3 linked regions of the Nothobranchius furzeri genome follow. The protein of the gene in region 1 binds, or shares a complex with, the protein of each later gene. Links are inferred from orthologs where the notes say so. Each region holds a gene or a part of one and is shown on either strand. Other genes may lie near its edges.

Region 1 (3,652 bases):
ATTTTTTTCCTATTGAACCACTTCTTTATCGATCGATCGATATAGTTACTGAATTAACTGTCCAGCTGTTCTACAGCTTTTGCGTTTGACTTCCTGAACCGTGGAGTTTGACTCACTGTAAAATTCTTACATGTTGCTCCTTTAACGAGTGGCAAACCCTGAAATGTTTCAAAATGACCTTCTAACCCTTCCCAGCATGCACTGTGTCTGAGATCCTAATGGTAGCACACGCCTGTTTGCTCCAGATTAGAGTCCTGCACTGAAGCCCGACGGCCCTCGGGTCGGGCTTCGGGCCAATGACTGTGTAATTACCTCGGACACGGGCCGGGCGCCTTTATTTTTAATCGAATTCATGAAAAAAATTGAAACACTTATAGCAGGGGTCGGCAACCTGTTCCCATCAAAGAGCCATTATTACCCGTTTCCCACAGTAAAGAAAACACTGGGAGCCACAGCAGCTGCGGCGTTGTGGGCGGGGCCTACCCTCAGACAGCAGAGAGCTGCTTTAACCAATCACAACAGGTGACAGCAGCCGGTACCGGTCGCTCGTGTACGTCAAAGTTATCTTTCATAAGACGATAATCAATAAAACGATTTATATAAAGTGGATCCAGAAGTTGTAGCCCGTCTCTGCCTACAATATTTTGATATTTTTCACCCTGTTGGTGGTTTTACTGAGCAGGTGCCACTTTTGTCATACGTTTCATTTAAAACATGTTTAGACTGTTCAGAATACAAATCCAGGCTCTGTCACGTTTGATTGTTGTAATTAAACTTTGTAGGTGGGGAAGGTCAGAAAAGGATCCGATCAATTTGTTTTTCCCTCATTTACAGTGACGGAGACAACGGTGCATTGCGCCTGGCTCTGGTGTTAATCAAGTTTAATTTGCAACAATTTTCACAAGAAAACAGAACAGTTAAAAGCAGGGCTTGTGTTGACCGGATAGTTCTCGTATTTGACCGTTTATTTTGACGGAGAAAGAATAGAAAGAATTACCCCGACGCATGCAGACGAACTGACATTTTATTCTACGCACATCGCAGTTGTAGCTAAATCACTCGAGAAAAGATTCCCATCTGAACATGTGAGCTGGACACTGCTCAGCGCAGCTCGCTGTCAGTGTGTACTACATAAGGTGCACAGCGAGCTGAAGATGTGGAGAGGGGCTTGGAGTACGTCGCAGAACCAGAGCGCATGCGGGAAGATTCCTCCCACTGAATTCATTCAGAGGAATCTTCCCGCTGATCTGAATCTGATGCGGCTCTCTGTGCTTGTAAAATAATGAATGGATATTTAAATAAAATGCTTTATATTTTACTGAATTAATTTTATATCTGTAAGTCAATTCTATGTAAAGATTGTCTGCGTAAACCTGAACAGGTCCAGCCCGGTCTTACTGTGTGAACGGGTTGACGGGTCACGCTTGTGCGTAATCATATCGGTGCATTCTGAGCTGAAGAGGATGTGAGATTCTGGGCTTCTCCTCAGACGGCTCCTGGATGCGTCGTCACATTGGAGACAGGAACAAGCGCTATTCAGCCAAAGTTTCATAATCAAGGAACATTTTCTAAGTGACAAGTCTCTCTGAGAGACCGGGTTTGGAAAACACTCGCTTCAGTCGGAGGAATCTTCCCGCATGCGCTCTGGTTCTGCGACACGCGCTCCAAGCCCCTCTCCACAACTTCAGCTCGCTGTGTACCTTATGTAGTACACGCCGACAGTGAGCTGCGCTGAGCAGTGTCCAGCTCAGATGTTCAGATGGGAATCTTTTCTTGAGTGATTTAGCTACATCTGCGATGTGCGTAGAATAAAATGTCAGTTCGTCTGCATGCGTCGGGGTAATTCTTTCTATTCTTTCTCTGTCAAAATAAACGGTCAAATACGGGAACTATCCGGTCAACACAAGCCCTGCTTTTAACTGTTCTGTTTTCTTGTGAAAATTGTTGCAAAGAGATCAAATTTACCTTGATTACCACCAGAGCCAGTGCGCCGTCATCTCCCTGACAATAAATGAGGGGAAAACAAATTGATCGGATCCTGCACGTCTTTTAACACATTGGTCAGGATTGACGCACTTTGTTTTCATTTAGTTGGTTAAAAGAAAGTCGGGCTCGGGTCGGGCCAGAGAATCCTGAAAACCTTTTCGGACCGGGTCGGGCTGGGGCTCCACCCCCTCGGGCCGGGTATGGGCTCAGATTTTAGGCCCGTGCAGGGCTCTAGTCCAGATAGAGGTTAGGGTTACAGCTTTGACTTTGGAGTATCTTAACCAAGTAACTTTAGTTTGGTTTTTACTTTGTTACAACGTCTCACTCTCTGGTTCCTGTTGGAATTCAACGCTCACCTTTCGGATCGTCCAGCTCAGACCTGCACACCTCCTTCACCTGCTCCAGGAGCTCCGGGCCTGCGAGTCTCTTGGAGATGCCGGCCCGCAGCAGAACAGCCCCCGGGGTGAAACGGAGCAAAGCTGCACCCGCCGCCCGCGGTTCTGGTTTCTGCTTGGGCATCAGGCTGGACCAGTCAACATCAATCACGTCCAGCGGACCTGTCCACACGTGGAACCGGAGTTCACATCTAACGTCGCGCGTGATAAACTAGTTTCGGTTTCAGGAGAAACAAACCTGTAATCTTCTCCTCCTCTGGCTGATCCTCCTTTTTCTGGCTATCGGCAAGGATTTCATCCAGCTCATCATCGCTGATCGGCTCGTACTCCTCCCCAACAGACGCAACCGACCGCTCGTCCTCTTTCCCATCATCATCCCCTGGACAAAAAACACATTCCATTGGAATCCAAGTAGGAAAATCAACACGAAGAACCTCAAAGTAAATTCCATCCTCTTACCATCAAAATTCTCCGTCTTCTCCACCTCCTGATGATCTCCACCTACATGGTGGCTGTTGCTAGATTTCTCGGCTTCTGGAGGGCTGAAGGCTTCTCTGGGCAGTAGGGGCTCGTATTCGCTCCTTTCTGGCCTCGCAATCTCTCCTCTCACGTCTCCTCGTCCCGGAGCTCTCAGGTCGCCATGCGGAGGCAGATCCATCATCATCCTCTCCCGTTCCCGGTCTCCGCCTCGTTCAGCTCGACCATCTCTCTCCCGCTCCCTCTCCCGTTCTCTCTCCCATTCGTGCTGTTGGATGAGTCCTTCAGGAAGCAGGCGCTCCCGATCCCTGAGGTCCCTTAGGAGAGGCTCCCGTGCAGGACGCATAAGCAGAGGCTCTCGCCCTCGGCCCGGCCAGTCTCGAGGTTCTGGCTCCCAGTCCCGTTGCTGCTGAAGGGGCTGCTGGAGGTGCAGAGGCTGCTGCTGTTGTTGCTGCTGCAGTGGGCGGAGCTCCTTACGATCTCGCTCAAAGGGCTCCCTGTCTCGCTCCCGGTCCCGGCTGTCGTAGGAGCCGGCGCGGGATCGGGACCTAGCCTGCCGCTCCGAATCAGGAGAGCTGCGCCTGGAGCTGTGGCTCCGGGAATCTTGCCGATCTGAAAAACAAGATTTTAGTTTCCAGCTTTGGTTTTGTTTGAATAATAACCAGAACCGGATCAGAACTCTCCAGTACCTGATGAGGTGCTGCGGCTGGGCTCTCCTCTCCTCAGCTGGTCAATCCGCGACTTCCTCTCAGCTCCCGGAGGATCGCTCACCACCGGCCTCTCTCGCTCCCTTT
Region 2 (3,752 bases), on another chromosome or scaffold:
CAGCTTGCTAAACTAAGTTAGCATCCTGGCTAGCAAACTGTTAGCTCCTGATGTTTGAAGATCATACTCGATTACAGCACGCAACAGCTCACTCTGCCTGTTTTCAACAACTTTATATATGCCCTAATGTTACGCGAACATCCGTTTTACCTGCGTATTTGCCCAAGTCTGCTCAGCATGTTTCGAATGGACCTCAGCAGGTAACCAGAACCGTGTGCACGCGCTAGTAAATAACTGCCCTTGAAACTGAGCCATTTCAAGTTGACAGACTGCACCATCATTATTATACGATGGGGGTGTTTGGAAGCGTTTGCATGATTTCTGTAATGTTGCGGACGCTGAAAGTTGGACTTCGTCGAAACATTGGTTTGCCGTGTTTGTCAATAAACCTTTAACTTGTGGCATTTTTTATGAGTAACCATGTCATTTTGTTTTTGAAATGCGTTTCCCTATTACGCTGCACATGGTCTTCAGGGCCTTAGCTCGTTATTTTTCTTTTTATTATAAATTAGTAAACAAGTGTAAGACTTGGATTTGTGTCGTCAAAATGTTTAACGAAATTTTGAAACACGAGAGTAATCAAAATAAAGAAATGTTTAGAAGACCACGAGGCACGTGACCCTCTTTTTTAATCGTGACGTGAAGATTGTCTACTTTGTTAAGATGTCCCACTCTTTAGAAATGTTCTTTTTTTTTTAAAAAAAAGTCTTCATCCAATTTAATCAATGACTCAAAGCAAACATGTTTTGCCTGAACCAGTTATTTTAGAAATATGCGTTTCTGCTAGGTCACCTATATTTGAATAATTTTAACTTAATTAACAAATAACATTTTTTGTTTATTTATTTATTCTATTTAGACAGATGTTATCAATTATTTTGGTCGATTGACTCTAAAAAGTTGTACCACGCATAATCAAACATTAACTATAGTAAATTATATAAATAAAACGTTGAAAATATCCCTTGTGTCGTGGCCCTGCTCGAGTTTCAGAAATTATTTTACGAGTGAGGCGTCTTCTCTCTGTTTTTAGCTCTCTGGTATTACTCCGCAGCATTTTCGTCCGTAGCTATTCCACACTGCCGTCAGCTAAAGAAAGATGATTGCGACTAAGCCCAAACGATACCGTTACTTGTCATTTCTCTGAATATTTGACCGTTTATGTGATTGTTATCCTCACAAGGAATTTCTGAAGCCGACAGTTCTGAGAAACATCGAAGATTCAGGGCCAGGTGAGTGTTTTTGTGGCGTCAGGCCTGGTAACTGCAGCCAAGAGCCCGCTAGTTTCAGGAAAAGGAGCGCAAGGGAGGGAGTCGTTTCCTTCACCGCCATTTTGTTATAACAAGGAGCCGAAACAGAGCAAATAATTAAGTGCCACCCATTTGAATTTAAATTATATTTAAACGTTACTTTGTAACTATGAGTTCAATTTACCATTGCAAAGGAGTGCTAAATATTAGTGGTCAGTAGTTCACCTTGGTTAGCTTCTTCGCTCTGCTAGCTGCCACAATGTCCCGACATTTAGCTGTACAGCGCTTATCAACTGGTTATGTTAAATCTTATGTTATCGACCAATGAGTCAACTCTTTGCCATAAAATATGCGGTGTTCTTTCTTCAGAAACCAAAACGCACGTAATTTAGCTTGTGTGCTAGTCGTGACTAGACTGCGTGCGGAGAACTAACGCTTTAGCTGAAAAGATGATGCAGTTAATTCAACCTGCAATTTAAGCAGCAGTAACTGATGATTTCTTGTCATATTTTCTTCTAGAGTTCAAAATGACCAACGAGGAACCTCTACCCAAGAAGGTTAGCGTCTGATCCTGTTCATCTCCTATTTGAACTATGTTCATTTAGCCTTTGGTTGTCTCCAAATAGCAGCCGGCCTCATTGACCAGTTTTTCTGTTTTCACAGGTTCGCCTGAGTGAGTCGGACATGAAGACCCTGACTAGAGAAGAGCTGTGTACCAGGTGGGTGTTCACGCTGCGATTGCTGTAAAATCACGTGTTCATCTAAAAATGTTAAACCTTCTTTTCTCGTTTCAGGTGGAAACAGCATGAAACGTACGTGCAGGTCCTCGAGGCCAAATATGCAGAGCTGTGTTGTAAGTGCAGTTTCGTAAATGCAATCCAGCATCATGTTGAGTTTAGTTTATTTAGCCGTTTCAACAGTCAGCTATAAATGCTACAATGAGTGCATTGCCTAACCTTTGGCTGTCTGTGAAGAGGACTAATCTGTGATGTTTTTTCATCTCATCCCTTCAGCGAACGATGTTCCAGGACTGAAGGAGTCGGAGGAAAAGCTCAAGCAGCAGCAGCAAGAGTCTGCTCGCAGGGAGAACATCCTGGTCATGCGACTTGCCACAAAGGAGCAGGAAATGCAAGAGTGTACAGTACGTATCTGTTTGCCACTGAATTCACTGTTTTGCTTTGGTCGAATGTTGCTCCCCGTTGATCTGTAGGAAGCTCCTTGTTGGGTGATTGATTTATTTTCTCTCTGATGGATGTCGACTCTCCTTTTTGTAATACTGTATAAAAAGGCGATGTTGAATTTTACTTATCATTAGGTTAGGTCACAGAAGTCAAACGTTCACTAATGACAATAGATTAATACCAAATGTAATGTTTTATAGTGATGTTTTGAACAGATGCCTTATTTAAAATGGCAAACATCAAAATGAGTGCTAACATCTGTCAGTGTGGCAGCTGTAGTCGATGTTTTATGTATTTACACAAGATCAGAGCTTCTTAGCCATAAAACACTGCTTATAAGTGCAATATGATCTTTGATTGAGATTAAAATACTAATAGAAGTAAATGTTGCATGGTGTCATTTACACATACATGATATTTTTCTAAGTTTGTGACGTAAAAGGATCTTAAAACAAGCAGCAGCATTTGCAGAGCAGCAGCTGTTATAAACAAACGTGCTGTTTTCTGTCAACAGAACCGGTCGTAAACAGGGATACTGTTATGGCCATTCACATTCATTCACACTGGGCCAACAAGTAGTTAAGGTCAGCCGTTGGCTTTAGACTGATGGTACAGAGTGTTCAGTGGCTTTATGGGGGCTCATCTGCCTTAAAGAGCAGCAGAGCTCACCTCAGCACACCTTTTCTTTCATTTAAAAGCCAAAAATAAGGATTAGGTTCAGTCAGATGCTGCTACTTTTGTTGCTTAAGCCATATTAGTTGTGCCTTTTGGCATATCGTGTAGGGCTGGGCAATAAACCGAAAATGTATCGTTATCGAAATTTCTGACTTATCGTGATAAATGTTCCCATATCAATACATTTGATAATACAAAATTGAAAAGATGTGTGTGGGTTGGCAACGTTCATGTCCCTAGCTGTACCAGGGTTTTTCCTGCATTCAAATTTGCCTGGTGGCCTCCTCCAGCTAATTTGTGCCGCCCCAGCCTGATTTCACTCTGCCCCCAGCTATATGGATGTTATTTTAACTGCAGTTGCAGCATTGCACCACTACGGGGCGCTGTATCAGCAGCGGTGCACAAAAAAGCACTAAAACCGCAGCAGACAAAGATCAAAAATTGCTTTTCTCTCTAGTTACATATCTGTGGTCGGTGCTATTGACGTCCTGATTTTCCCCCAGGCTCTTCCATATCAGAGCAGGGCTGTACAGTGCGATGAAAAACACTGTCTGCGTGTCTGTCTATTTGTAAATGTAACACGGGTGCAACATCTTTGAATTACCATTTTCCCCTGAACTTTATTGAACAAAAGTAAGTTACTTGT
Region 3 (3,752 bases), on another chromosome or scaffold:
AAAAACAGCCGCTTGCGGTCAGAAGAGCGGCTACTGAAGCGAGAAACGTCGCCTTCATGTTCTGCGACCGTGAGCCGCTGATAACGGTGGCAATCCGTTTCACTCATCAGCTGTTTCCAGACATGCAGGCAGCCCCGGCGCTTTTCCCCGGGAGGGGAGAGAACCGAGAAGAAAAACGACGCAGATCGATGAAACTCTTTTTGCGTAGGCTGATGCGCTGGCAGCCCTTCCGAGAGGAGGAAACCAAATTACTGATTGATCCAAGATCCAGCCAAATGTCACGAACTAAAACGAACTCTACGCGGAGCCGTAATAAATATAACAAAAATTCCCCTAAACCAATTTAATATATGTGTTGGCTAATTACATTTTAGATAGACTATATTTCCCATTTCCCCTCAGTCAGGTTAGGAAATTTTGCTTTGAGAAAAAACGTTTGAAATGTTTTTGCACTGCTGTTAAAATGCTAAAAGGAGAAATTAAATTAAAATTAGGCTATTAGTTATCTGTATTGTTATTGTTGTTATTTAATCATTATATGCTTACTGCTAAAATTATTTCAATGCTATATTTTTATGTAGTACGGCTACAAAGCTGTGAATTTGCTTCTTGCACTAATTTCATTGTCCGTAAGCTTTTAAAGCTACTCGACTATTGATACTGTATTTAAATGCCAATAACACATTCCCTTCTTTTTATTGTGGTATCATGAGCTGTGAGAGAACGGGAAACAGTCGAATATAGCTGTTTGTTGGATTGCCTTTTCCAACTGTTCTCTGTGATTGGGTGATAAATTTGCTGACGCCAAACGTATGCGTCGGACAAGGCTCTTTCATCATCATCGAGTGACTGTAGGTTCAAATGCTTGTTAAATCTTGTAAACAGCGTACACCGAACCTTCTCTGGGTAACCGGAGTTATAGCCCTCAAATCGGTTTATTTAATTTTCTTTGTAGAATTTTATACATGTCTTCAAATTACACGTTATTTGAGTGTTTTATATGTAAACTTTGCAGTTTCAATGCATCGCCCTATATTTGTTAAAGACACACATCTACTGTGATTACTTGTACCGGTGTTCATAACGAGCGCACCCATCATCATTTCAGCGGCTATGTCGATTTAGCTAATGTTTAGCTAGGAGCTTGCTGCTTTCAGAAGTGAACGTAATCCGTATTTAGCAACGACCCGACGTTTAATATAAATACAGATCTACTGTCACAGAGGAGAACATGAACAGTAGGCTTCAAGAAATCCGCGAGAAACAAAAACTGAGACGGCAGATCTTGGCTCAACAGGCAAGTACACCATAGTTAACAGTTAGAAAGTGGCTAACCGCTAACGTCGCTTTGGTCATAACGGAGCTGCAGGGTGCTAAATGCTCACCATAACTTCACCGTCCCTAACTTGGCTGATGTATTAAATACTCGCCTTCCACCGAGCTAAAAGAAAACACCTTCATAGCAAATGTAAATAAGTGTAACCCAAGCTAGAGCCGACTTTATTTGTCGAATGAAATGTAGCAGCAATGCAAAAAAGGCGTTCACAAAGTTCCAGTCAAATGTTTGCTGATGTTGGTTTCTCTGTGTGTGTTTCTCTAAATGCGCAGCTGGGAGCTGAGAGCGCAGACAGTATCGGGGCTGTCCTTCACAGCAAAGATGAGCTCAAAGAGATAGAGGAGACAAGAGAAGCAAGCAGGTAAGGGTTGTTCCTCCTCACAGACAGGGCGGGATCGTCTGAGCTAGAAAAGGGCTGCGTTTGAATGAAATACGTAAATGCAACGTGTTTGCAGGCGCGTTGCAAACTTTTCAAAAGTGTGGGGGATGTTGTCTGTGGATGTCATCAGTTGTAAATTGAAACTCAACCTCAATCCAGTAAGGAGTTCGCGCATGATTCACAGTAACATAGTCCTTCCAAAAACATGCTTAATATTCACCAATGTATAAACTGCACACATGCAGAACGGGAAGAACTAATCTTCCAAACAACAGAACCCAAGTTTTCTTCATCAACAACACCCAATTCAACAATAAGCTGTTAAATCAAAAGGACGTAAAAATACACTAAATACACATTTAGAGAAAAACACACAGCAGCGACAATCCAATATCCTATCCACAGAATCCACTGTTTAAATTAAAGCCCAGACTTCTCTTTCCAACAATATTTATGCACTCTACATGCAAAATTCACAGAACCAGCAGCTAACAAACCACAGCTCATTTCATGACGTGAAAAGCGTAAATACAGTCTTACCTTTGTTGATTCATGGTCATAATCCATGTTATGGTAAAAACAATCCAATCCCTTTGTGTAATCCATCTTCACAACATCACACAAAGCTGATTCGTGGCTGTTTTAGCTTGCATCCATCTGATGCCAAATCCCAAAAATCTAGCCTAAAAAATCAAAAGCAAGCGATTCTATTGGCTCAGAGGTTTCCTAACTAACCTGAACGGCTTCAATAATCCAACGGCGGGGTCTGGAGAAACTCCTGAATAAACTGTGGTTCCAGCCCAGTCCACCAGCGCACAGGTGTACTCGGGTAGAGGCGGGGAGGTTTCGACAAACTTTATTTGTCACTGAATGTTAATAAAGCTGATTTTAAAGTTGGACCAAAAAAAAAACCTATTCCGTAGAAGGAGCGTTCAACTATTCCTTTTACAAGTGGCACACTGTGGCATTTGAGACCTCGCTTTAAGTGTGCATATATTATAAACCTCTGAAAATTGTTGTTCTTCACTTTATCAAACTCAGACTTTGTACAGCTAATGTCAAGATGTAAAATTATGAATTCAGTGAAATTTAAAACTACTGATGCATTTTTCAAAAGAGGTATTCATCCTGAAATCAAACATTTCGGGCAAAATAAGCAAAAGAAAAATAATCAACTTTTTTACAATGTTCCTTGTCTATTTACACTTCATCAGCAACACTTATTCTAATATTCACACATCTGAACAAATCCCACAAGAATTCCTTTTATAATGAGACCAAAAGTAATGAAAAAGACCTTGTGGTTACAGGAATATAGCCATTAAAGTGTGGGCATGTTATTTGTTTTTATTTCAACAATGCCATCAAATGGTTTGTGTTACATTGACTTACTGTTTTATAAGAACATATTATGAATGTAACATTAAACACAGTAGTCAAAAGTAGAGAATGGTGGTGGTGATTATGAATATCAGGACACTAATAAACAATATTACAAGACATTAAAAGTCAAATCAGTAACACTTTAGGAAACACAACTTAATCATTAACCAGGGGTTAACTAACATGCAAATGATACAGTCTGATTTATGAATTACTAATGATAACAAATTTGTGAATGACCTGAGTACATTACACATGTCCAAAAATTAAAACTTATTGTGTTATTTCCTCCAGTTTGAACCATAAAATTAGATACAGCTCAAGGTATGACCTATAAAGTACATTCTTTGGATTCAAAACCAAAACAACAGGGGAGGTAAGATTCAGCAAATACTTCGCAGAAGTGAAAACCTGCTTCATATGAACTGTGGTAACTGAGTAGGTGAGATAAAACTGTATTATTTTTAAAAAGCATCTCCACAGCTGTAATCATCACACTGGATGAATCCAAAAGCAAGACATCCAACACTTAACAGCAATTCAAGCTATTTTCAAGAACAATCTGTGTAACATCTTTGAGCTAGACCAGCGGTTCCCAAACTTATTTAGCTGCGCACCCCCCAGCCCCCCACATCCATCTTTTCCCCTATAGAC

The links.
Region 2: the proteins of zc3h13 (region 1) and wtap are in contact, whole or in part, in a cryo-EM structure (PDB 7VF2), measured with the Homo sapiens proteins. The link is inferred for Nothobranchius furzeri from reciprocal best matches to the Homo sapiens genes ZC3H13 and WTAP. Residues at the interface, in NP_001317494.1 of Homo sapiens: Arg1512, Pro1514, Gly1515, Ala1516, Ala1517, Leu1518, Lys1520, Phe1521; in NP_001257460.1 of Homo sapiens: Asp202, Glu203, Asp206, Phe207, Gln210.
Region 3: zc3h13 (region 1) and mettl14 share a complex: the UniProt entries of both Homo sapiens proteins name them as parts of the WMM complex. The link is inferred for Nothobranchius furzeri from reciprocal best matches to the Homo sapiens genes ZC3H13 and METTL14.

Annotation. Positions count from the first base shown.
Region 1 is NC_091754.1:49,202,651-49,206,302, forward strand, and holds part of zc3h13 (zinc finger CCCH domain-containing protein 13), read right to left. Parts: coding exon 3,548-3,652; intron 3,471-3,547; coding exon 2,841-3,470; intron 2,761-2,840; coding exon 2,620-2,760; intron 2,544-2,619; coding exon 2,343-2,543; intron 1-2,342. UniProt on the Homo sapiens protein: Associated component of the WMM complex, a complex that mediates N6-methyladenosine (m6A) methylation of RNAs, a modification that plays a role in the efficiency of mRNA splicing and RNA processing.
Region 2 is NC_091742.1:5,865,490-5,869,241, forward strand, and holds the start of wtap (pre-mRNA-splicing regulator WTAP), read left to right. Parts: upstream 1-1,045; 5' UTR 1,046-1,232; intron 1,233-1,769; 5' UTR 1,770-1,777; coding exon 1,778-1,807; intron 1,808-1,913; coding exon 1,914-1,969; intron 1,970-2,044; coding exon 2,045-2,103; intron 2,104-2,263; coding exon 2,264-2,391; intron 2,392-3,752. Other genes in the region: sod2 (superoxide dismutase [Mn], mitochondrial), read right to left, coding at 151-281. UniProt on the Homo sapiens protein: Associated component of the WMM complex, a complex that mediates N6-methyladenosine (m6A) methylation of RNAs, a modification that plays a role in the efficiency of mRNA splicing and RNA processing.
Region 3 is NC_091746.1:78,155,502-78,159,253, forward strand, and holds the start of mettl14 (N(6)-adenosine-methyltransferase non-catalytic subunit METTL14), read left to right. Parts: upstream 1-1,098; 5' UTR 1,099-1,231; coding exon 1,232-1,297; intron 1,298-1,608; coding exon 1,609-1,697; intron 1,698-3,752. Other genes in the region: prss12 (neurotrypsin), read right to left, coding at 1-58. UniProt on the Homo sapiens protein: The METTL3-METTL14 heterodimer forms a N6-methyltransferase complex that methylates adenosine residues at the N(6) position of some mRNAs and regulates the circadian clock, differentiation of embryonic stem cells and cortical neurogenesis.